2 linked regions of the Tribolium castaneum genome follow. The protein of the gene in region 2 purifies or fractionates together with the protein of the main gene of each other region. This does not show direct contact. Links are inferred from orthologs where the notes say so. Each region holds a gene or a part of one and is shown on either strand. Other genes may lie near its edges. The genes, in order: Tbp and transcription initiation factor TFIID subunit 10.

Region 1 (4,219 bases), on a different chromosome or scaffold from region 2:
CAAAAATCCCCAGATTTAAAATACTGGTTTTAACTTTTATTATGACTGACTTGTCATTACAAAAATATTAATTGATATTAGTTTTAATCAAAAAAATGGAGCTTGTAGAATTTGAGGCGATAATAAAAGCCATTAGTCAATCTTGCAGTGAACAACTCGATCGCTTTACCGAATCTTTGCACCCACTCGATGAGTTAACACCTCATGTGGAAGAAGGTACGTGCAATCTTTTTAAATCTATTTTTGTACTCTGTTATGTCTTTTTAGAAGGGTATTTGTTTAATATATGTGCAAACGTTAAATCTTTGATTGATTGTAAAGTAGAAAGGGCCTTTGAAATCGTGGATAACAATGCTCAACTTTTGGAAAAAGAAAAGTCTGAAATCGTAAGTATAAAAAATAATTTTACTTGTACGATAACTTTGTAAAAAAAATAGAATAAACTGGAAGAGGAACTTTCAAATTTAACTACCGAATTTGGTGCAAAGAAAAATAAACTCCGGGAAACAACAAAACGGTGCGAAACTTATAATCATAAGCTGCAAAATCTTAAGAGCCTAAAGTATGAAATTTAAATGACTCTTACGTTGGTCTCTAATGAATTTATTTCAGGCTCTCCTTATATTTGTATAAGTTATTAACTGCAACACAATTTGATTATACAAGACCTAACACAGGCTGTATCCTTTCTAAAAAAAAAACCAAGCCGTTCATTTTAACAACTTTATTCCTTATAAACTAACAGATATGGTACGGACGAACCCTCCAAACTATGAAGTCTTCAATTATGGTGAAATAGGCGAGGAACAAGTAGTACGAAAATTATGGGCATTAATGGAAAAAATGGCACATAAAAACGAATAAAAACTTAAATTTATTGCTTTTTCTTTATGGTAACCGTTTTAAATATTGTATATGAATGGAAAACACTCGCGCTTGTTGCAATTGTAAAACCAACAACGAATAAGGCTACAATTACCATAGCTAGTAGCATTCCTTGGATAAATATGTTGTAAGTTATGTAAAAAATTCCCTGTGACGCCAAAATTCCCGTGTAAGTGAGCAATAGCGCAACGGGCATTAGGGTGGCTGCTGTGACCACGGGGAGCAGGATAACGGCCAAAATCACCACCAAAGACATGGACAAAATCGGTCTTTGCACTGACCATTTTAGGAACATACTTCTAACATTCTTCACCAAATTTCGCACTTTATCTGATAAAATTACGATTAGTAACGCAATTATTGGCGTGTGGCCTCACCTGGTAAAATGGGCATTGTTGTTATTTTACGCCGAACTGTAGAGATTAAAATAATTACTTGAACATGTTGGAATTTGACATCGCTTTTTATCAGTTCCAGTATTTACAAGGCGTGGAATTTGTACCGTCTTCTGATATTCTTCCACTTTTTTAGAGTTTATTGTTCTTCATTTAAGACAAAAACGAGCGAGTTTTTTCTTTTTGGCAAAAAATTTGAGGTTATGTGGCAAAAATTTGAATTTTCGTAAACCATAATCAACTTTAATTAATTATTTACTTATCAGTTTTGAACTTAAGTACTGAGCGGAATTTTCCATTCCCTTTCGATTGATTGTATTCTAGTGCAGCATAATGTATTAATAATGTAAAAAAACTAATTTTGAGGTTAGATTGGACTTGTCAAAAGGAAAAATAAAAGCAATTTTTGATTCTCGTCTATTAACAATATAAAAGGCCCACTTACAGTCAACAATTAAACGTAGCACATGAAGCAATTATTGCTTTTTGAAGCTTTTCAGGATTGGATAAATATTATCAAAGGCTTCGTAAATCTCCTGCCTGATTTTGGCGCCAGTCAAGACAACTTTACCCGAGACAAAAATAAGTAGTACAATTCTGGGCTTAACCATTCTGTAAATTAAACCGGGGAATAACTCGGGTTCATACGAACTGAAGGAACTGTGCGTGAGGACAAGTCCTTCCAATCTGATCGGAAATTTAACGTCGCAACTTCCCACCATATTTTGAATCTTGAAGTCTAAAAATTTCGCGGGGAAGCCCAGCTTTTGGATAATTCTCGCATATTTCCTCGCTGCTAGTCTGGAGTCGTCCTCGCTTTTAGCCCCCGTGCAGACCATTTTTCCCGAAGAGAAAATAAGAGCAGTAGTTCGGGGCTCCCTGATTCTCATTATAACTGCAGCGAAACGTTTGGGGTTGTACTCAGCGTTACGTGCGTGAAGGGCGATTTTTTTCAAGTCTAACTTGCAGCTGAGGTTAACTGTGGAGACAATATTTCTGCAAAAAATATTCAAACTAATTTTACTAAAGTTTGGACTGTTACTGTAATTGGGGGACAATGTTGGGGTCGGCCGAATGCGGGGTCATCGGTGTCAGGGGCGACGGCGTCGCGGGGCCCATCGACGGGGTGTTCGCTGCACCACTTGAGCCCCCCAAATTCACCATAGGGGACATCATAGTGTGTTGCTAAAATTTTAATTAAACGTTCCAATTATTCAATAATTTAGTTACGTACTGGTGTTTGTGACTGGATACTCGTGATGGGGAGGGCGAAGCCCGCATATTTCGTATGGGGCATGGACATGCCCATGCCCAACCCCAGAGTTGGTGTTAGGGCTCCCATTGGGGCCAAAGGCGGGACTTGTTGGGACTGTGATGTTGTGGAAGGTTGCTGCTGCTGTTGTTGCTGCAGAGCATTGGGCAAAATCATCTGATCTTCCTCGGGCTGGTGCAAGGGGGTTCCTAAAGCCTCACTAAGGAAGTGTGAAGGAAAAATCGAGACTTACCTATGCTAGGAATGCTGAAACCGGGGCTTGGCAACATTTGATCCATTTTGGTACTTGTTGTCTTTACACTTTTTTAATTAACGAACTAATTAACTGAACAATAAAATCATAGTCAACATTTAGCATAAACGGTTATAATTTTTAAAAACTTGAACTCAGACCATACAAACACAAAATAACATTCCTTGATTGTTCTCTTTCAGAGTTTTCGTCACGAAAATACTGTTTTTCACTGGAAAAACGGATTTGGAAGCAAATTAATAAATTATTCTCCTAGCATAATTTTTGGGGACAAATCAACCAGAATGTTGGCAACGCCCGCCTTAACCTCACTCAAATTCGCATCATAAATTTAAAAATAACACTCACGGCTCACGCTCACAATGTCGCCTTTTAAAAATTTCGAGTCAGTGGAACAGTTTTTTCACACAAACAATTATTTTGGATTTAATTTATTCACCTCTCCCTGATTGTTTATTTAGTGTTGTAATGTTGGCAACGCATATTTAACCTGACTTTTTCTACATGTGTTTATTTTAAAATAAAAGATGGTAAAAAGTTCGCTTTGGTGTTTGCACAGCGTATAGAAATGTTTTTTAGGGTAAGGCGAAGAAGACGCGAAAAATCGCCCAGAAGCGGTTTGCAAAAATGAAAACAATGATCAGTCCCAGCGACCCTCGCATAAAAGCCAGCCAGAGGGCCCCTCCTCGCAAGAAAAAACCCGAAGATCCACACGAAATGAAAGTGCGTGAGGTGCCCCAAGTTAGTTCGGCGCTCTTTTTCCAATACAACACCCAACTGGGGCCTCCATATCACATTTTGGTTGATACGAACTTTATTAATTTTTCGATCAAGAACAAGTTGGATATTATTCAGAATATGATGGACTGCTTGTATGCTAAGTGTATTCCGTATATTACGGATTGTGTTTTGGGCGAATTAGAGAAATTAGGTCAGAAGTATAAAGTGGCGTTGAGGATAATAAAGGATCCGAGGTTTGAGAGGATTAAGTGCATGCATAAAGGGACGTACGCTGATGATTGCCTAGTCCAGAGGGTCACCCAACACAAGTGTTACATTGTTGCGACGAATGATAAGGATTTGAAACGCAGAATTCGGAAAATTCCGGGTGTTCCCATCATGTATGTTGCACAACATAGGTATACAATTGAACGCATGCCTGATGCTTACGGGGCTCCAAAAACATAATAAACTACGAATTTTTATTACTACGTTATGAATTATCCCAATTTTTTACAAGTTTCCCTTCATCTAACAACGACCAATTTGGAGATTGTCTTTCAACATTCAACCAGTTGAAATCATCAACACATTTCCAATTATTTGTGTTTCGATCCAACCCTGAATTTTTAAAATCAGACTCGAGATTATCATAGTCCCAGTTATACGGTGCTAGAAATATATCGTGACAAT
Region 2 (2,977 bases):
AGTGGAGTGACCAAGGAAATAACTTACCATAAAAATATTTTGCATGTGTAAGACCTTGTTTTGGCGTGGGAAAAAATTGATTATTTCTTTATAGAAAATTTAGTGCCCAATTAGCACGCCAGTTACGCGTCGCCGTTTCTAGTTTTTTCGATAATTTAAATCTGATGAGTGAAACTATTGAATTCGCTGGTGACCCTGTTAGCTCCACTTATAGTCATTTTTAAAATGCCTGAACACACACCTGCCCCTACTCCGAGTAGGGCTGTTTACGGCTTTGCTATGTTCCTCAGTTTTAAGACTTTTTTCATTTTGTATTTAGCCTGGGCTGTACTTCCGGAAGAGTGGTTTAAGTATGTCGGTATCACTTGTTTGCCTCAGAGATACTGGGCTGTTGCCATCCCTATTTTTCTCCTCACAGTGTTGGCAATTTTTGCCTTTGTTATTTACCCAAATTTGGGGTTATTTATGACTCCTAGTGTTGATGATTTGCGGACGATTAAAGACTCAACTTGCGTCAGAGAGAACAAAACCAATTTATTGTCACCCAAGAACTCGGAAATTAAATGTTCATGTAAAAACGAGGACAGGTGTTTTAAAAATTTTGAGCGGAATTGTGGTGATTATGTCTCAAAAGCAATCCCAGTGTTGCAAGATCTTAACATTTGGGAGGTTTCAGACCACTTGTACTTTAAATAATTTTATTGGAAAGAATACAAGAAAAATAAACTAATACACTACACGTAATAATGTGGCTTTTTAATGGTAATCCCAAACTCGGCCAAAGCCGGTGTTAAATCCTCCATAGTTAAACAATAACGCTTATCCTTGGAACCTTTAGATCCCTAGAAAAAAAAGTTAGATGTGATTATCACACTACATATCCAAACCTTTGAGCCCCCATGACTGTTGGACGAGTTACTAGACCGCATTTTGCAATGTTGGAGAGCATCATTCGCAATATCTGATATGAATTTTTGAGCAGCGATTGAAATCAGTCGAATTAATCTCGGGTCTTTTGCCTCACATCCAGAAGTTCGTAAAAAATGGGCTGTTACAGCGTCCGGTATCTAGTAATTAAAACTAAGATTTGTGAAACGGAATATTTTGCGACTTACTGTCGGGGTGTAGTCTTCCAGTTGGAGCAGAAAATTGCTCAACGGTTGACCGAATGTTGCAGGCTCATTATCGTCCACAATCATTTTATCGCTTGCCTCGGCCATGTCGTCAAAAAAATTACACAAAATGTTTGAAATGAATTTTTATTTTTGTCAATTTTCAACGATTGACAATTGTGACAAGTAGCTCAAGTTTTTTGTACAACAGATCTACTCTTAACTCTTACTTTAATCTACAGACCGAAATTGTCTTTGTGATATTCGTATATTGAGTTGCCTGACTTTTTACCTGAAATTTTAATTATTTATTTGTTATTCGTTCATTATTCACTGATTGTAACAAGCTTTTCTTGCATTTACAAATATAAATCTACACTTTTTTCAAATGACCTAATTTGTTGATTGTAGGTTTAGTTGTATTTTTTGCTTGACAATTTACGAATTCCTGGATTTAATTTCGTCAAGAATTGCAATAAAAGTCCTTCAGTTTATTAAAAAGTCGTGACAAATTTTGCGTGAGTGCACATGACTCACCGTTGGGTTTATGAGTTTTTCTGCCGTTAGTTTCTCACCAGCCCGTTATAACAGAATTTAGCAACAAATAAATTGCAAATAATTTGTTAGTGCATTCTAAAATTAGCCTCCAGTTTTTGAATTGGTTCGTTTCTCGGCTGACCCTTAATGACAACAATCGACAATCAACCTGCTGTACCAAAATAGGTGTGGCGCCACACTGCCAAAGAAGCTGTCAAATAGGTTTAGAGAAAATTTACAATTTTTACAATATAAACTGAGTAATAATGGTAGTCAAAGTTTACATTAGCGGCATTTCCGGCAATAAAGAGGTAAGTGCAGTTCTAATAACCCCAAGTTCCGTAAATTCTTCCCAGTCCGTTGTTGGTTAATTTATAAAAATACACCTGTTCTTTTGACAGGTGAAGAAAAGACAGCAAAGGGTCCTTCTGATTTTAGATTCAAAAAATATCAATTATGAAGTTATAGATATTGCCGAACCCGAAAATGAGGAGAAAAAGGATTTCATGCAGAACAATTCCACGTCTTCAGGGGCAACAATCAGTGACCCTAATCCAAGGCATCCACTACCTCCACAGATATTCAACGACGATGTCTATTGTGGGGTAAGAGCATTTTTTATTGATTTTCGCCATATCAGCATTATCACAACACCATTTGTGCATATCAACGTGCACTCAAAATAGATTGGAAGAAGTCCATTAATTGCTTTGTCTCATTTCAGTTTTTTTATTTGTATTTTTATCCTCTGTTTTGGTTTACTTTTAAACGGATTACGTCATCGATTCCAACACAAATATGTTTTAAGCCTTGTTTGATTTAGAATTACATCGTTAAATTTCGATTAATTAACATTTTAATATTTATTATTCGTCATTTCCATACTAAGAAAATTCAAGAAGCCACTGTAAAAAGAAATAATTGGACTTTATAATCGTTATTATAATAAGTTGATTATAATGATGCCTTCCATCAAGTAACCTCAGTTCCATTTGCTTATTTGAAGCCAACTTGATAAAAAATTATAATTAATGACTTGTATCTATCTGTTCACGATTATGAAACTTTCATGTTGCATGATTAATTCTAATAGATGAAAGCTGTTAGAGACCATATGTTCCAAACAAATATTTACTATGTTTATGTTTATTTAGAATGACATCAGCTAAATTCGCTCATCATACGTACATTTTAACAAGTCCTGTTAACATTTTTTAGGACTATGACCAATTCGATATGGCAAACGAAGTGGACGAGATGGAAAAATTTCTAAAACTAGCACCGAACGATTCTGAACCCTCTGTAACAACAAATGCTGAACTAAAACT

What was found.
Region 1: the proteins of transcription initiation factor TFIID subunit 10 (region 2) and Tbp purify together in Drosophila melanogaster (affinity purification with western blotting; 3 studies listed by BioGRID). This does not show direct contact. The link is inferred for Tribolium castaneum from reciprocal best matches to the Drosophila melanogaster genes Taf10 and Tbp.

The regions. Positions count from the first base shown.
Region 1 is NC_087402.1:9,986,838-9,991,056, reverse strand, and holds Tbp (uncharacterized protein Tbp), read right to left. Parts: upstream 2,924-4,219; 5' UTR 2,832-2,923; coding exon 2,786-2,831; intron 2,742-2,785; coding exon 2,515-2,741; intron 2,466-2,514; coding exon 2,323-2,465; intron 2,277-2,322; coding exon 1,757-2,276; 3' UTR 1,263-1,756; intron 1,216-1,262; 3' UTR 710-1,215; downstream 1-709. Other genes in the region: Bka (rRNA-processing protein FCF1 homolog), read left to right, coding at 3,334-3,336, 3,386-3,994; Tbcc (tubulin-specific chaperone C), read right to left, coding at 4,020-4,219. UniProt on the Drosophila melanogaster protein: General transcription factor that functions at the core of the DNA-binding multiprotein factor TFIID.
Region 2 is NC_087398.1:382,825-385,801, reverse strand, and holds transcription initiation factor TFIID subunit 10, read right to left. Parts: upstream 1,546-2,977; 5' UTR 1,506-1,545; intron 1,405-1,505; 5' UTR 1,221-1,404; coding exon 1,116-1,220; intron 1,068-1,115; coding exon 888-1,067; intron 843-887; coding exon 735-842; 3' UTR 682-734; downstream 1-681. Other genes in the region: Sh3beta (SH3 domain-binding glutamic acid-rich protein homolog), read left to right, coding at 1,916-1,960, 2,051-2,254, 2,868-2,977. UniProt on the Drosophila melanogaster protein: TFIID is a multimeric protein complex that plays a central role in mediating promoter responses to various activators and repressors.